2 linked regions of the Arabidopsis thaliana genome follow. The protein of the gene in region 2 interacts with the protein of the main gene of each other region in a pairwise test. Each region holds a gene or a part of one and is shown on either strand. Other genes may lie near its edges.

The links.
Region 1: the proteins of AME3 (region 2) and AT2G29210 interact in a two-hybrid assay, tested with the Arabidopsis thaliana proteins (one large-scale study listed by BioGRID).

The regions. Positions count from the first base shown.
Region 1 is NC_003071.7:12,554,125-12,564,232, forward strand, and holds AT2G29210 (splicing factor PWI domain-containing protein), read left to right. Parts: upstream 1-3,854; 5' UTR 3,855-4,031; coding exon 4,032-4,052; intron 4,053-4,171; coding exon 4,172-4,261; intron 4,262-4,423; coding exon 4,424-4,546; intron 4,547-4,700; coding exon 4,701-4,868; intron 4,869-4,956; coding exon 4,957-5,031; intron 5,032-5,167; coding exon 5,168-5,280; intron 5,281-5,599; coding exon 5,600-5,647; intron 5,648-5,725; coding exon 5,726-5,782; intron 5,783-5,918; coding exon 5,919-7,181; intron 7,182-7,272; coding exon 7,273-7,395; intron 7,396-7,488; coding exon 7,489-8,044; 3' UTR 8,045-8,243; downstream 8,244-10,108. Other genes in the region: AT2G29220 (Concanavalin A-like lectin protein kinase family protein), read right to left, coding at 8,657-10,108.
Region 2 is NC_003075.7:15,752,374-15,761,335, reverse strand, and holds AME3 (Protein kinase superfamily protein), read right to left. Parts: upstream 5,319-8,962; 5' UTR 4,941-5,318; coding exon 4,851-4,940; intron 4,694-4,850; coding exon 4,573-4,693; intron 4,344-4,572; coding exon 4,317-4,343; exon of another isoform or gene 4,225-4,316; coding exon 4,071-4,224; intron 3,975-4,070; coding exon 3,926-3,974; exon of another isoform or gene 3,653-3,925; coding exon 3,538-3,652; intron 3,403-3,537; coding exon 3,311-3,402; intron 3,182-3,310; coding exon 3,034-3,181; intron 2,922-3,033; coding exon 2,857-2,921; intron 2,764-2,856; coding exon 2,666-2,763; intron 2,567-2,665; coding exon 2,461-2,566; coding exon of another isoform or gene 2,455-2,460; exon of another isoform or gene 2,440-2,454; intron 2,367-2,439; coding exon 2,229-2,366; 3' UTR 2,022-2,228; downstream 1-2,021. Other genes in the region: AT4G32670 (RING/FYVE/PHD zinc finger superfamily protein), read left to right, coding at 1-20, 95-282, 364-675, 749-900, 979-1,130, 1,210-1,356, 1,432-1,809; KAT3 (potassium channel protein), read left to right, coding at 6,539-6,798, 7,025-7,240, 7,334-7,495, 7,604-7,661, 7,764-8,081, 8,174-8,413, 8,499-8,597, 8,742-8,774 and 1 more.

The sequences.
Region 1 (10,108 bases), on a different chromosome or scaffold from region 2:
ATAATATAAAAGTGATGCCATAATATTTTTCAATGTTTTTACTATTTGCATATAATGCTGCATTGAATTGACTTTGTTTAAAAATGTTATTTTTATAATAAATACAACATATGTAGTTTTAAGTAAATGTGTAAAATTTGTATACAAGTTGTTTTGGTAAGAAACATGTTTCCTTTGTATTAAAGGGTCTAATTTTTGGCCTAACTTAGAATTAGTCTTTGTATAGTATTTGGATTATATTTGTGGACCTAATTGAGGCCTATATTAGATTATCTTTGATAGGGCTGACGAAAAAACGGACCCAATAACCAACTCAATACCCGAACCAAAAAAACGGGTTAGGGCGGGTTAAAATTTTAGGAAATTTCCTTATTGGGTAGAGTTTTAGTAAACCCGTGGATATCCGATTGGTCTGGAAATTACCTGGTACAAAACAAAGTATTCAAAAACCCAAACATTAATTTAATATCCAAAATATTAATTATATTTAATCGTAATATTATCTAATTATCTAAGATTATAATTATAAATTTAAATATGTCAATTAATTTTGGACCTAAATATCCAAAACAACTAAACTATTCAAAAATGATTTGTTATGTTTGTCAAAATTTTGTAAAATATATTCAAATATAATTAAATTTATTAAAACTTAACAAATTTAAAAGTTTTTTTTGTTTGGAGACCCGCTATGTACATACAAATTTCCAGTTTCTATTTTTTTTTGGATATTTTTAGGGTCTGAAACTTTTTATCCAAACTGACCCAAACCCAACTGGATCCGACCCGAACCAGAACCAAATATTTAGAATTATTCTATTGGATAGTAAATCATATACCCATTAATCCCAAACCCGAACGGGTTCTACCAGAACTCGAATGGGTTACTCGTATGCCCAACCCTATTCTCTGATTTAATTATCTAAAAACTCCCAAAAAAAACATATGTTTTGCTGACTACTTTTTATTCAAAAAAATGTACATCCTCTTCTACCAAAATCATTTCATAAGACATCCCAAAACCCTTGGAATAATGATTTTATGAATGAAGAATCCTAATTTGTATATACCAAGAGGTTTTAAAAAGTTTTAAGTTTTTATTTCTAATGGCATACCTATGTAATTACTTACAAAAAATAAGGTTACATTTAAAATGCTTATTTATAATTTTTGATAAGTGTGTATGTGAGAAGGTACGGACATCGTGATGGTAATCTGCTTATTTATAATTTTAACTTGCAGTATACCACATGTAGGCTTATATTTTATTTAAACTAAAAATTTTTATTGTAAAGATGATTATAAATATATGATATTATTTTATTTGATTTTAAATGTATAGTAAACTGCGAGTTGTATATGTTTTGTTGATATTATTTATATTGTTTAGTGTTTAAAATTATACACTTGTATTTTGATTGTTAATTTTAGAGTTTCACATGTAGTATACCATCTTGTATTAATATCGATTTAAACCCGTCAATTCTAGGATTTTCTATCTTGTATTAAAAATTGAATCACATCATACACATAAAAAAATCTAATATGTTATTAATTATTGTAGTATATAAGATTATAAATTTTTAAAATAATATGTATGAAATTGAATATAAATATTCAAATTATGACCCAGTATTCAGTAGAAAATTTTCTTAAATCTATTTTTGACCCGTTATAATATTTTTTCATGTATTGAACAGTTTATATTAGTTTTTAAAAATTCAAATTATGGCATATGCGAAAAAACTCTAATTATTTTTTTATAACGATGATATTATTTTTTCGCCAAAATAGAATCATATAAAGATGAGAGGTGAACTATAATAATTAATAAAAAATTAATATGATAATTTAGATATCAAATCTAATTTGTTGATTTTAATTGGTTACTTTTTTGGAAATTAATAATGTATTTTGTTTTTTAATTAAATTTAATTAATTAAATTAGTATTTGACTTAATTATTAAAGAGATGAATTAATTTACTCTTTAAATTTTATTTCTAATGGCATACTTATGTAATTACTTACAAAAAATAAGGTTATATTTAAAATGTACTTCCTAAATAATATAGTAGGATTTCTTAATTAGGAAAATGACAAAAAAATATTATATTTACCTCTTAACTTTTGAGATTTTATTTAAATTTATGAAAGTTTTGCTTTTTTTTCAGCGGAGATGTTAGGCGAAACTTACATTATTTTCTTGTCAGCAAAGATTTGGTGAATTCGTTAATTCGATGATGATAACGTTAGTGACGGTTGCAAAAATGTTTCTGTTTTTACGGTTTTTTGATTCATGTAGAGGCAAAGTTTGTTTGTAATTGGAAAGAAAAAATAAATTAAATAACGAATCTTAAAAAGTCTTCCAAGTTGATTTTTTTCTTTACTGACATAAATTTTGCTTTATATATCATACAAATACGTCAAAGTCCATAATTTCGATGATGGTGATGACAAAAGAAAATATGTTATTATCTTTTGCATGACATGCCCTCATATATGAAACTGAAACACAGAGTTATGAGCTCATCTATATATACATTTTTGCTGCTACTTTGTGAAATAAATACTGGAGTTGGGATTTATTTACAACGGCTGCCACTGGCATTTAATAATTGTTTTTGATAATTAGAAAGAAAATCTTCTAATTAAATATTTGACATTTAACAATCTTCCCAAAATCTCTCAACCTTAACTACACGATTAATTACTAAAATAAAACTTCTAAAATATTTAATATCATTTAATTACTACAAAATTATCATTTTTGATATTGCTTTTCTGCATGATTATAATCATCAAACCGTAGAGATATTTGATAGCATTTAATTACTACAAAATTACAAAATATTTAGACAATAATTCATAAACATATCATAAATAAAATCAACATTAATAAAATAAATGAGTTTTTTTTAGAGGACGGGTTGGCGGGACGAGTTTGGCAGGACGTTATTTAATAACAATTGTAAACTATACAATAAAAATATTTTATAGATAGATAAAATTTACAAACTTTTATATATATTAATTAAAAAAATAAATTGTTTCCGCGGTGTACTGCGGGTTAAAATCTAGTCTAATACAATATTAGAGATAACTATAGTCATTGCTCTCATTTTTCCATTTGCATACTTATATGTTCTCAATTCTCATACCTACCTTATATTGTGTGCCCATACACCTTCCATGCGCACTTGTTGTCCACACAAATTACGATCAAACAACTGTTATATAGTTTCCACCCACACTTTCACCTATGGTTTAAGAAACATAAGTTACTCTAATGTAGTAGGACGAGTTGACCAAACCTAACTCCTTCATTTTGTTGCACCAACCCATATTTTTACCGAGTAATGCACACCCCAAAACTTATAATCATAGTCATCTTCCTTTCACGTCCCATAAGGTTCACATTGATTACTCTAATCTATTTCACTTTCAAGATTACCACCACATGTAACTTTTCCATTCCTTTTCCACATTTATCTCTTAAACCTCAAACACTTTCAAGTTTCATCTTCTCTCTCTCTTATTAACTTCATCTACCAACCCTACTTAACCTAAAACCATTTTCAATTGCTTAATCAGTCCACACAATGCACATAAATTTCCGTGACCACACTGTTCGTTTTAGAAGAAAAAAACCACTTCCAAAATTGCATATGTACCAATAAGATAAAATGTTTTACTCATTCAAATAGACCTACGAGATTAATTAAGACTAGGTTTGCTTTGGGCTAAAACTGGCCCATAAGCTATGGCAATTGAAACCAATCAGATTACAAAAAAGGCTTGTCAAGAAGATGAGACCGAACATGTTCCAATAAATGGCAATAACGTAATTCTCAAAACCTCTGAGGGTAACAATGGAAAAACAAAATGAAGTGAGTCCGATATAGCTAGGGCTCGTTAAAAACTCTTCAAAATCTCTGTGGAAGCCCCATTTTCACATCTAAATCTCACAAATCTCTCTCAAGCTTCGATCTTTCTTCTAGAGACGAGCTAGTGCTTCCACAAACCCTAAACTATGTCCGGCGGTTTCTTCCGGGTTAGTTTTCCGATCAATTTTCTCAATTGATCTCTCATCTTTTAGATCCAGATCGATGCAATTCAAAAGTTTTGTTGAAGTTCCCATGGTTTAATAACTTCTTTGTTTTGAGCTTTTAGGGTACTTCCGCCGAGCAGGATACTCGGTTTTCTAACAAGCAAGCTAAATTGATGAAAAGCCAGAAATTTGCTCCGGAGTTAGAGAATCTGGTGAGTTTTCTCTTTGTGTACTCGTCCATTTTAACGATTTGTGAATTCGTAGCTTGAATTTACTTAATTGAGATTCGATTACCAGATAATTCGATACATATGTTACTATGAAATTAAGTTTGGGGAGGGCTTAATGATGTCTTCTACTTGCCTTGGTGTTAGGTGGATATCACTAAAGTGAAGATGGATGTTATGAAACCTTGGATTGCGACTAGAGTCACTGAGCTTCTTGGTATTGAAGATGAAGTGCTGATTAACTTTATCTATGGTCTGCTTGACGGGAAGGTAAGCTCATTACTGAGATTTTATTTTTCTGAGCTTTTTATTCGACTGTTAATAAGTGACAGAGGGGTAGTATGATTTCGTAGCCCATGCCATTGATACAAGTGATTTTTTTTTGTTGGACTAATATGTAATTGAACGTTCACTATGTATGTAGGTAGTGAATGGTAAGGAGATTCAGATAACGCTAACTGGATTCATGGAGAAAAATACTGGCAAATTTATGAAAGAACTTTGGACACTTCTTCTAAGCGCACAGAATAATCCAAGTGGTGTTCCACAGCAGTTTTTAGATGCTAGAGCTGCTGAAACAAAGAAGAAACAGGTATTCTTGGGAACTCATTCTGAAGTTAGTTTGGTGAACGACTTGTCTCTGTCCTACTGTTTCATGATTATTATCCTTTATGTGGCAGGAAGAAGCAAATGAAATAATGAAGAAGAGGGAGGGAGATAAGAAGAACATTGAGCACGATATATTGAGGAAAATAGTAAGACGTTCTTATTCATGCTAGAGTTTCAGCTTTAGAGATGCTCTTCTGGTTTTAACATTCGCCTGTTCTTTCATGTTATTCAGATAGCTTCTGCAATTATTAGGGTTCATGTGCTTTACCTCAACTACTGTAGGACAGCGGTGTAGAACATAAGGAGACAAATGGCATGGATGCAAAACCTTCAAGAGATCGTCCAGAGGATGGGAGAAGGGCTGACGAGAAGAATGGTGTAAAAGAAAGGAGAAGGTAGAGTTCTCTTAATGCCTATGATTTCATAGCTACTCTCTACTCATCGCTGTATTCCCTTGTGTACTTTATTATTGATTGAGTTCATCCTTCTAGTCTACTCATAACTTTGTACGTTGATTTTCTCTATAAGAACTCGTGGGCATGAGTTGTTCAAGTATTTCTATAAATGACTGTTCTGGGTCTTCTAGTCTTTTAGCATTTTTAGGTATGCTACTGGTACTTTGCATGTGCATTTGGTTTGCTGGTGGTCCAGGAATTTGTTTGTGGCCAAGATTATTATGTAAGTGGGTTCTGACATTGCCTCCACTTGATGCAGGGATCTGATACCTCCACGTCGCGGAGATGCATCCCGCTCACCCCTTAGGTGACTCTTCAATAGTTTTGTTTTTTCTAATACAATTTGCTTATATGTGCAAGTATATATTGATTGGTTGCTTTACAGAGGGTCACGTTCTAGGTCAATCAGCAAAACAAATTCAGGCTCGAAAAGTTATTCTGGGTATGTAGCCTTCTGCAATTGTTTTTCTTAATCCAAAGAAATTGTAGCCTGTGATGTGTAGCTAGCTAGTTCTGTATCTATTATTTTCTGTAAATCCTAGTGCAGTTTTTGCTAATGCTGTCTACTTTTATAACAGCGAACGGAAATCCAGGAGCACATCTCAATCATCAGATGCCTCCATCTCACCTAGAAAGCGAAGATTGTCGAATTCAAGACGTAGATCCAGATCACGTTCCGTGCGTAGGTCTCTGTCTCCTCGGCGACGTAGGATACACTCTCCTTTCAGAAGCAGGTCGCGGTCACCTATTAGACGTCACAGGCGACCTACGCATGAGGGACGCCGTCAATCACCAGCCCCTTCAAGACGTCGCCGTTCTCCATCCCCACCTGCTAGACGGCGCAGGTCACCATCCCCACCTGCTAGACGGCGCAGGTCACCATCACCACCTGCTAGACGGCACAGGTCTCCAACACCACCTGCAAGGCAGCGCAGGTCACCATCGCCCCCTGCTAGGCGTCACCGTTCTCCACCGCCAGCTAGGCGGCGTAGGTCTCCTTCACCGCCAGCTAGGCGGCGTAGGTCTCCTTCACCGCCAGCTAGGCGGCGTAGGTCTCCATCTCCACTCTACAGGCGTAACAGGTCTCCATCTCCACTCTATAGGCGTAACAGGTCACGGTCACCGCTGGCTAAGCGGGGAAGGTCTGACTCACCAGGGAGGTCTCCGTCACCAGTGGCTAGGCTCAGGGATCCCACTGGGGCAAGATTGCCTTCACCATCCATTGAGCAAAGATTGCCTTCACCACCCGTTGCACAAAGGTTGCCTTCACCACCCCCTAGGCGTGCAGGATTACCTTCACCACCCCCTGCGCAAAGGTTGCCTTCACCACCCCCTAGGCGTGCAGGATTACCTTCACCAATGAGGATTGGAGGATCTCATGCAGCCAATCACCTGGAATCACCATCACCCAGCTCATTGTCCCCTCCTGGTAGGAAAAAAGTGTTACCATCTCCACCTGTTAGAAGACGCAGGTCACTGACACCTGACGAAGAGCGAGTCTCCCTGTCACAAGGTGGACGCCATACTTCCCCTTCACATATCAAGCAAGATGGATCTATGTCACCTGTTAGGGGTCGAGGTAAATCTTCTCCTTCATCTCGACATCAGAAAGCGCGCTCTCCTGTTCGGCGCAGATCACCAACACCTGTCAACCGGCGAAGTCGAAGATCTTCATCTGCTTCACGATCACCTGATAGACGCAGGAGACGGTCTCCATCTTCGAGCAGATCTCCTTCTAGGTCGCGATCACCTCCTGTTCTTCATAGATCTCCTTCTCCACGTGGAAGAAAACATCAGAGAGAGAGAAGATCTCCTGGGCGTCTATCTGAAGAACAAGATAGGTATGGTCTTCATGACTCCATTTACTATAATCTTCTTCTTATCTGTACTTGTTAACTCCTTGACCCTCTGTCTGCTTTCGCATTGTGACAGGGTTCAAAATTCCAAGCTGTTAAAGAGAACTTCAGTGCCTGATACTGACAAGAGGAAACAATTACCAGAGAAGTTGCTAGAAGTTGGGCGTGTAGAACATTATAAGGAGCAGGAGAGAAAGAGGTGCATTTTGTTTCTTTTCATTTTCCAAATGATTTTCGTTTGACTTCAAATATCAAGGTCTGATAAATGTTGGTCTATTCAACTTCTTAACAGTGATAAGTTGTCAGAGAAGCGATCTGTTCACAGACACCATGGTTCACAGATGTCCCCAGTAGAAAATTCAGAAGGAAGGAGTCGGCCTGTTTCTAGTAAAGTGAAAGACAGTGAGCAGGTTGAGAAAGAGGATAACAGCGACCTGGATGCAAACCTTTCCTGTGATTCTAAGGATACCATCAGACATCAAATTAAGGATAAAAATAGAAGAAAGAATAAAAGGTCTTCAAGGGAAGAAGTATCTTCAGATGATAATGGCAGTTCTGATTCCGACGTAGATGATAGGAAGGAGGCTAAAAGGAGGAGGAAGGAGGAGAAGAAAACGAGAAAGGAGGAGAAGAAACGTAGGCGAGAGGAGAGACATCGTAAAAGGGAAGAACGTCGTGGTGGAAAGGAGAAGCATAAGAAACAAGAGCTTTCTGATACTTCAGAAGGTGAAGTTGAGGCCCGTCCTAAGATTAAAAAAGGGGAGGAATCTGATCCAAAGAGGCTTGAAATTGAGTTGCGAAACAAAGCACTCGAGTCATTGAAAGCAAAGAAGGGCATTAGCCACTAAGTCCCTTGTCCAGCGTTATTTGAACATCATCTTTTATGATACTATCCCTTGCTAGATTTATGAACATCATCTTATGTTGTGTTTTTTCTTACATGTTCCAAACTTTCTTATGTGGTCTGTTTGTTGGTGGCAGCAAAATTGGACAAGTGACAATTATGATAGCAAAATTGGACAAGTGACAATTATGATAGCAAAATTGTTTCTTGCATTGGGTGGTCCCTTTATGTTAACATAAGCTTTAAAAAACCATTTAGGTTAATATAAGCTAACAAAAAAAACCCAAGAGATGTTTTCATGGAAAATATTCCTGTATATGATGAAGTCATGATATAAGTTTCGTAGCTATGTATCCTAAACTGACATAACAAAATATCATTTAGATTTTAAATAGATCAAAGATATATTTTGTAATGATCATTTTCCCAGAAGAGTAGGATCAGATTGTCCTAACAACAAGAAAATATTTCTCAAAACCAGAAATTCTTATTTTCAAATTTACAAATGGAGTAAAATACAATTATAGGCTTTATTCACATCATCATGCTTAATGCATCTTCGTCCAATCTTGAAATCACACAATTCAAAATACAGACACGTTTGTGAGATCACTTTTTAGACTCCATAGAAGAGGTAGTCATCATGAGGGAGAGCTTCAGTTCCTTCGAGATACCGAAACACATTTTTCATCATTGGCCTTGATTCTGGAGATCGGTTGGCGCAGAGAAGTCCTGTTTTCAGAACCAATAATACTTCTCGAGCTACCAAATTCTCTCTATTGATTCTTGTGTCGCAGCTCATTAACAGATCACCTTTCTTGAACCCTTGAAGCACCCAGTTCACCAAACTTATCTCTTCTGGTGCTTTAGTCGGCTCTATGGCCTTCCTTCCACAAACGATCTCCATCATCAACACTCCAAACGCAAACACATCTGTGTCACGTGTTACCTTTCCCGTGTTGACTAGTTCTGGTGCAACGTGCCCTGTGGTGCTGTGTCTGCTTCCTTGTCCATAGTCGCCTAGTCGAGCGTTTAGCTCTTCGTCTAAGAGTACGTTGCTTGCTTTTACGTTTCCATGAATCAAAGGTTTTTGACCTTCACCGTGAAGGTGTTGAAGTGCTGCTGCAATCCCCTTTATTATACAGAACCGATCTGACCAGGTGAGAACTGGTCGGTCGTTGTTGAACAAGAACCGGTCTAGGCTTCCATTGGGGACATACTCGTAAACAAGATAGATATCTTTTCCTTTGCTGCAGTAACCATGTAGATTGACTAGGTTTCGTTGTTTAATCTTGGAGATCGCATCGATCTCGGCTATTAGGGTTGTCTTTTGTTGCCTTGTGGTGCAAGTAATCTTCTTTACGGCAATTATCTCTGTGGGAGCAAGCTGTCCTTTGTAGAAACTTCCAGAGTTTCTCTCTCCCAAGAGTTTAGAATTGTCGAAACCTCCCGTTGCGTTCGATATCGTCTGGTAGGAGAATTTCCTTGCACCTCCGATGAAGAATATTTTGTCTCTACGTAAGAACCAAAATCCTGAGAAGATTAGGATCATGAGTGCAACCGTTGCTGATGCAGCGACGATTATGATCAGCATCGTGTTGTTCGACTTCTTCTCGGTTGAAACCGGAGGACTTGGGGATGGAGACAATGTTGGTGGCGGATCTGGGAGAGAAGGAAGCTTCGTGATATCAAAGTCTGATTCTTTCCCTTCGATGTTGAAGCTCCAACCTAGAACAAAATGTGAGCTCGCTACAGTCCCCGTGGACGCAGAGAATCCAACGTGATGTTCTTGGGAGAAAATCCCTGAAAGATTCATTTTTCTCGAGAGAAGAGGTATACTTGGCTTCGGACGATCTAGAGGAGCCAATGTGACATTAAGCATTGTCTCAGTGGCGTTGTATTCGATCCAGACTCTTACTGGTTTCCCACTCGCCAGCCTCAAGCTTATGTTCTTGGCCTCTCGGTCATCAAAATATGCAGCCGGTGCAGACGCAATGGAGATCACTCCATTTAGGTCGATGCCTACGTGGTTATCGTCAATATCATTCAACTCAACCGCTTGCACGGT
Region 2 (8,962 bases):
GCATGGAGCTTATCCAAAAGGTAAAATTTGAACTTTTTGTTCAGTTCTCACGCATCATCTAGTTTACTCCACTTTCTCTTCTTTCTTTTGGCAGATAGTTCAGAAACGAGCCTTATGGTATCTGCTAGATGTTGCAGAACCAAACTACAAAGTCACCAAACTGCATCTTGGTCCCATTCTCTTGGCGTTTGCTTTGCATGGGACAATGGTGGTGATTGTGCTTCACTTACCAATAAAAACAATCAGTCTCATCAGCCAGTCCTTTTTCCCTCTCCAATTTGGGTAAGCTCCTCTGGACCTTACCACATAATGTTTCTAATTTCTCGATTCTTGAACAAAATGTGCCTAATAAGGGATATGCAGGGTGTACGAGGATGAGTTTGTGTTTGGCTTACTTGTTGCTTATATGTGCCTAGTAATATTCGGTCCCCGGTGGTTAGCCAATTTAATTAGACCATCCATCAGACCCATAGTTCACAAGTGGGTTATCACTATCAGTTCTTTGCTCAAGTTGAGTGATTTCTTGCTTGGAGAGCCCCGAAAACACCGTGCAAATCATAATATGAGACTTCGGTGTCTAGTATTTGGCATAGCTGAAGGCTCTATGGTCAGTTTGCATGGATCTCAAAGCGATACCACCTGTGAAAAGGATACAAACGAGCAAAGAGATAAAAGGTAGTAGTTAACATGCTTTTAATAGAGATAACTTCCTTCGCAAAATCTATATTCTGATAAGTTGAAGTCTCAGGTTTATGGTGAGGATTGGAGTGATGTTGATTCTTGCTTCTCTGAGTATGTTTCTTGTTAGTACAACCTTCATGGCTTTACCAATTCTAGTGGGAAGGGCGTTTTTCCACTCTATCTCTTTCTTCATGCTAAGTTTCGGACTCAAACACGACGGTTTGTACTTTCTTAATCTTGCTTCACACGTCTTTCTCCTTTGTATTATGCTTCTAATTTTAAAACCAATCATTTTAGATCTTTGTGCTTTCTGGATTGGATTCTGTATCCTGCGAGGAATCTATATCATCACTTGCTTTGTCTATGATCATTTCATAACGGGAAGAACCGATTTGCTTCTCAACCATGTCCTGATGTTCATACGGAATGTCTTGTTATTCTCCATATGGGTAAGAAATCCCAAAACTCTTTCACTGAAAACGTCTGAATATTATGAATTTTTGAATCATGATGTTTTGCTGTGAACAGATCTCTGTCATACCGGGAGTGCTCGGTCTCCTTATCGACCTTATGATCATCATCCCATCACAAGTTCCGCTAGGTGAATCCCCAGTATATAACTTGCTCCACGATTGGTTGATCGGTGTAGTCGTCCTACACATCTGGATCTTTCTGGTAAGATGAAACGTCTGTCCATCATTATTGCTTCAATCAAGAACTCGTTATTGTAACTGCTTTCTTCTCTCGCAGACTATGCTCACACGGATCAACTGTTTTGCAACTGTGGCCTGGCGGGAAAAGCTTCAAAGAATCAGAAGCGTTACAATCAACCGACTTCCCTTTACGTGGCTGATTCGAGATGTTATTGGTTCGATCATAGTGTCCCTTTTATTCACTCTCTGCGTTCCCTACGTGGTGGTAAACTCTCTGTTCCCAATTCTTGGATTTTCCAGTGCAGTCAACTTAACCGTCCAGCGGTTCATTTGGCCGGCGATCCTTGCCTTAATCCCCATATGGTTTAGTGTCAAGCTCATTCGTGATCTTATCCTCTACCTTCACAAGCTGGAATTCGATAATCGATACAAAGTGGGCGAGAGGCTGGTCGATTTCACTGAAGATCTCGAGTAACAACGACCAAAACCAATGGTTATTAATAGAGAATGTACCTAGTCTTCAATTATAAGTACATATACAGTTTCTTGGTGGGTGAAAGTGAAACAGTCTTCTTCACTTAAGATTGAGAATCATCGAGTCCTTGGGGCATCTTAAGTTTCATTAATATGATAATGGATGGTGCAATGTGTAGATTTTGCTTATGATATGCAATTTACACGATTGATTAGTTTCAAAATATGATGCAAGTTTTATATTCTCAACAACACAATGTACAACAGAGGTATTTTCCAGAATAAACGTAGCCAAACTCGTAACTGAAATAGGAATACTACTGTTTGGTGCTACTGAGAACGGGAGCTTTAGAGGAATCTAACAAAAAAACTTGTTACCAAGTAAAATTCTACATTTTATGGTTCTGATTTTGCTTCTTCTCAACTTGAGCTCTTAAAGAAAGGATGGTCAAGAGCTTCGTTTGCTGTGAGACGCTCAGATGGATCATATGCCAATAAACCATACAATAGATCTGCAAATCTAGATCTCGTGTTGTCAACATGTTTCGATACCATATCCTGCAAGAATTGTAAGCAGTTTCTACTTCAGATTACGGCATATTAAACAAAAGATATATCATTAGACACTAACAAGAATTAATGGTGATTAAACCTTGAGACGATCAAGTCTTTTTACAGCCCTAATACTTTCTCTAGAGTTGGCTCCTTCTGGCCAATTCAACCGACACCCTCTCCTGAAATATTTCTCAGCACCCCGGCTACAAAAACATAACGACCATACATGCAACAACCGATGAGCATTTATATCTCTGTGGACTTTTTACGCACCCAAATGTTTGTGGAAACAGAAAAGTAACCTGGCTTTTCGAGTCATATGTTCAGGTAAAGGTCCAAGCGCCCTCTCCATCATAGCTAGATGTTCTAGGTTATCATGCGTCTGAAAGAGAGCCTCACCCTGATGGACAGTTTGAAAATGTTGACAATAGTAAGTAAAACAACTAATAAACATGGAGATAAGAATTCATACAACAAAATGAAGAGACTTTACCGTGCATAGTTCAAATAGTATACAACCTATACTCCATAAGTCACACTGGTAACTCCATCCTAGACCTGCAATGATATGCCACTGATTAGTTACCAGGGAAAAATTATGTTCATTCGTTAAGCATCAGCTACGGAATCCACAAGCATCTATTGACGAGCAAGTAACTGATTAGCCTACCTAAAATGACCTCGGGGGATCTGTAATGTCTTGTTTGGACAATGGAGTGATGAATCCGGTTATCACAAACAGTACTGCCAAAATCAATCAGTTTAATGGCGCTTGACTTTGGTAAGCACCTGAAATGTGTCTCATTTGCAGCACTCCTCTGTTATTTAAAATCAAATACCAAACTGTCAAAAAGTACAAACTCTTGAAGATTTTTCTTTTTCTTTCAAAACTTTAACTACAGAGAGTGTACCCAAACCCAACCTTAACCTATTTCAGTTCTAGATACCTTATTGTCAGGAAGCTTTACATTTTCAGAAGACACCAACAGAATGTTCTCAGGCTTGAGGTCGGTGTGAACTAACTGTAACTCGTGCATATCTGTAGACAAGGAAGATTATGTTAAGAACAGAGAGGCATTAGGTAGGAACTACAGCTGCTGAACCGGGACATAAAGGTGACGTGCTAGGTACGATAATTGTATAAAATAGCAGCAGATAGGAACAATTCACAGACATGCTACAGATTCCAAAAGCTGGCATCCAAAATCCCGAACAAGGGCCAGAGGAAATGCGGAGTATTTATTTCTCTTTAGAAAGTCAAACAAACTTGGCCCAAGCTTCTCGAACACCTGGTATCACCATTAGAGTTCATTCACAGGAAGGTTCCGTTTAGTTCCAAACTTCGAAAAAATCCACATGAGTAAACAAACTACACAAACACTATACACGGAATTGGATTTCTGTCACTTGGGCATCAAACAAAGAAAGGTAGCCAGAAATATTATGATTCATTCATTTGTAACACTAACAAACCTCACAGGTCACTGAACATAGAACCAATTAAATATTAGAGATGCATTTGAACGGTGGTGGAAATCAATGAGCTTAGTTGGGATACTTACAATGCAAATATGATTTCGGTAATCAAACCAGTTCTTCATCTGTACACAGCTGCAAGGACAAAGCAGAAATGAAGAAACTGAGCAATGATATACACCTCTGAAGGAAACGATGTCATCAACTAAAGTCTAGAAGATAAATAAATACCGTGTGCGGCCTTTATCACTCTTAACAAGTTTCTGAAGTACATCAATTTCAATCATTGCTGCATCCCGGTATTTCTTAATGCTTCGAATTATCTTTATTGCCACATATTCTTTTGTATCACGATCCCAACATTCCAAAACCCGACCAAATGTGCCTACAACACCAGCAAGTTCACTGAAATGGCACGATTTGATTCACATAAACATTTTTTTTATCTCGAACACACCATGCCACTTGACAGCTAACCTTCACCCATCTTGCTAAGTATTTTATCTGTCAAAAGTCAAAACAGAACACACAATAGCGTAAGTTAAGCAATTAAAAATGTTCAGGAAGGATTCTCATCCCAATGAAACGAAAGCGAAAAAAGATTATCCCTAAGGCAATGGTGCCAAACAAAACAAAGAGTTACTAGCAACAATACACATATAGAAGCAACATAGGTAAATATCTTAGCTCACATAGAATAGAAAGTTAGCAACTTTATCCATCAAAAACTCACATCTAGGAGTGAGATTGTCCCTCAAACTGAAAACATAATGACCATCACGATCATCGTCCCTTAATGGTGGTGACAAAATCCTCCCATCGCTTCCATGTCCTTTAATCACAGCCCTTTTAGCCTATCACAAAAAAGTCAAAATTCATTCATTGTCAGCATATCAAAATCTCACCAAAGAAACATAAATGCTCGGTCTTTCCTCCACATTCTAAACCCTAATTCGAAGTTCTAAATGTCAAAGATTAATTAAAAAAAGAAGAAGAAGAAAGAGGAGCAACCTCTGGTTCAGCTGGGGCCTCGTCCCAGGTCATACGAGGACGTTTCCTGACTCGTTCTTTATCCATACTCTCGAATCCGTTAGCTATCATCACCGACGCGGAAAATCGATCACCGACACATCCAGAACGGAATCTGATGCCAATCTGCAGCTAAAAGAGGGAAAATTTCTACCAGAAACTCTTTACGTAGATGTAATCACAAGGCGGCGAATCGGGGAGAAGGTGATAATCTCCGAAAATGGTGAAAACAGAGGAATTGCTAGGGTTTGGAACTAGAGAGAGTGCAAGAGAAAGACAACTCCCAATAATTTTACCGGCCAAATCCCTTGGGGTCGAACCGCGACGACATCCACCAATTGCATTTTTTTTGCACTTTCCACCGAAAAAATTGGGTCTACACGATCACCCGGAATGTTTCGCCCACCCGGCCCAAATGAAATGTGGTGAGATCTTCTTATAATCTTGGCCCAAATTTCCATCATGGATCTTAAACGTTCGTTTCATTGTTTCTTGGATTTTTTTTCATTAACTGGTCCATCTCAAAATGGGCTTCCATAAAAATGGGCTTTTTTACAAAAGGGTTTTGTTTCATTAATTGATTTTCGTGTTTTTTTATCCGTAACAATTATGCTTTCGTTTCCTAATTTATACGAGCAAACGTAAAAATGTATAGTATTTGACTATTTGGTTTTACGTATCAACAATCAACAACATACTGTACATCAGTACATACACAATTTTTTTTTAACATACACAAACTTACTTTATGTACAAATGAACTATTAAGAAATGGCTTTAGCCTTGTTATTGCATGCATCTTCTTAATTTGTGTATGTGAAATTCTTCATAGGAGCTAATTAAGGGACGAAGACAAAGTGTATCCCCCTTCATGTATTACCTAAACGTATCTTAGAATTTCAAAACATTGTTTTCCTTAGAATTTTTTAAAAAAATTGTAAACATGCACATCCAACACTGGAAAGTGGAAAGAAGTATATATATATGATATGTTATCTCAAAAAAACTGAAATGATTGTATTAAAAACATACTAAATTCTGACTGATGATAGATATTGATACGTAATTCATTTGTTTATTATTGTTCGTTTTGTTTTCAACACTACTATTCCTGTCACGGTCTCATTTAATAACAACAACAAAAAAGACGTCAAGATTTGACTTTTGAGTTCCTCAATTTTTTCAACTCCAGTATTTAAACAGCTAATTATTACATAATTTATCGTAAGAAAAAAAAAAAAAAAAACCTTATCCCCCTGATATTGTAGATCTCGATTGTAATCACTACACCTGATGCCACATTAAATACACACAGAGACGTAAATAAGAGTCAAAAAAGTCGATGAAGCCTTCTGCATATATAACAACAAAGTTGAATATATAAAGAGTAAAATTCATCATACTACAATCTTGAAAAATTATAATTTATTAGATGGTTAAGTAAATTTGTTTTATAGTATTGTTATATTCTTTTTTTCCAAAAAATATAGGGAAAACAAAAACCAGTAAAAAAAAAAGTCAACTTAATTTGCTCACCACCTTCTTGATCATCTAAACACCTCTTTAATAATTCAAAACTAAAAAAAAAAGGTATAAATGAAAGAGACAAAAGAGGGAAGTATATATCATCAAGCTTGAAGAAGAGAGAGAAGAAGAAGAAGGAAAAAAGAATGTCTACGACGACTACTGAGGCGAGATCACCGTTGCCGTTGTTGTTGAGAAGAGGAAGGTCTTCGACGGCGTTATCGGCGTCGACGGCGGAAGCAAGATCGCCGTTATCGATACTGCAGTTCAGAAGAAGATCGAGCAAAGATGTGAGGAACATAACGTCAGTTTCGAGCAGTCTCTTGCCTGCTTTTGGGACTTTCATCGAAGATGATAATCCTTCTTCCAAACCTTTCATCGTTCTTCACTTTGATCGTCGTTACAGGTTCATTTCTCACTAACTAAACAACGAAGAAATGTTTTTTGGTTATCAAACAATAAATAGTGATTTACAGATTTCATAACTTTTCTGTTTCTATTAGTCCATAAATTAATGATCAAATGATTCGTTCATTAATTTTCATATTTTTACGTCTTAAAATTGTTATTTCTTATTAATATTCATATATCTTAATTTTTTTTTAATCTTTCCATATAAAAATTAATGGTAGGTTGTGGGAATTGTTTTTGGTGATATTGGTTGGGTATTCGGCGTGGGCATCTTTGTTCGAGTTGGCTTTCGAGAAAGCTGCCGAAGGAGCGTTATTGACCATTGATCTCGTCGTTGACTTCTTCTTCGCCGTTGATATCATCCTCACCTTTTTTGTTTCCTACTTGGATAATACTACTTACCTCAATGTCACCGACCACAAGCTCATCGCCAAACGGTAACAAATCAATTTGTTTTTATATGTTAAAAAAATAACATAAGTAAAATGAATAAGTTAGAATTGAATTATATATGTTGTGCATTATTATAGGTACTTGAAGAGCGTGGCTTTTGTGATGGACGTAGCATCAACGTTACCCATTCAATTCATTTATAAAACTATTACCGGAGATGTCGGACGAGGCCAAGCTTTCGGCTTCCTTAATTTACTCCGCCTCTGGCGTCTCCGTCGTGTAGCCGAACTCTTTAAAAGGTTTTTTCTTTACTACTTTCTATATAATATGCAATATTGAAATCCACTTATCATATAGTACATATGTGTGTGTCTATTTTACACTTCCTTTCTTTCTTTTTTTAACAGACTAGAGAAAGACGCACATTTCAACTATTTCGTGATCCGAGTCATCAAACTTCTATGTGTAAGTTTTACTTATATTGAATTATCTATATGTGGTCCATACAATCACTAAATTGGCTATGTCAATCTATGACTTTTATTCAAATTGTGAAATTTGATTCAGGTAACGATATTTTGGATACATTTGGCGGGTTGCATTTTATACTGGATAGCCTACCATTATCCAAGGCCTACGGATACATGGATAGGATCGCAAGTTGAGGATTTTAAGGAAAGAAGTGTATGGTTAGGGTACACTTACTCAATGTACTGGTCCATTGTCACACTCACTACCGTGGGTTACGGTGATTTGCATGCAGTTAATAGCCGTGAGAAGACATTCAACATGTTCTACATGCTTTTCAACATTGGCCTCACTTCTTATATCATCGGTATCATGACCAATCTAGTTGTCCATGGCGCTCTTCGTACATTCGCCATGGTATATAATCATTCATTGCTTAAACCCGAAAAGATTGTTTACTCATTCATTTACTCTACCAGTCGTACAATAATCATTCTTCTGCTGAACAGAGGAGTGCGATCAATGATATATTGCGATACACAAGCAAGAACAGGTTACCGGATACAATGAGGGAACAGATGCTTGCACATATGCAGCTCAAGTTCAAGACCGCGGAGTTAAGGCAAGAAGAGGTTCTTCAAGACTTACCTAAGGCCATAAGATCAAGCATTAACCAACATCTATTCCGCTCCATCATCGAAGAAGCTTATCTTTTTAAAGGATTCCCCGAAGGCCTCCTCGTCCAGCTGGTGATCGTCCATCAACAATTCCATTTTCTTTTGTTCCTTGTTAAACAAGGCAGTGGTAATTCATTCTTCTATGTTGTTGTTGTAGGTTTCGCAAATACAAGCAGAATATTTTCCGCCGAAAATGGAGATAATCTTGCAGAATGAGATTCCAACGGATTTCTACGTAATTGTATCTGGAGGAGTGGTATGATATATCTATATATCCTCTACATACTCATTCATTTATCCCGAAAAGATTGTTTACTCATTCATTTATCCCGAAAAGATTGTTTACTCATTCTTATTTATATTTGACTTCAACTGATTAAAAGAAAATTTGCAATTTTAGGATATAATTGCTTCCAAGGGTGTGAGTGAACAGGTAAAACTCTGAACAAATTTCAGTTATAAGAAAAACACATTTCATAAACTTAAAAGATTGAGATAGAGTATGAAGAGTTGGTTGATAAATGGTGAAGGTATTAGCGAAGTTAGGTCCCGGAAGTATGGCAGGAGAGATAGGAGTAGTGTTCAACATTCCTCAGCCTTTCACAGTGAGGACACGTCGAC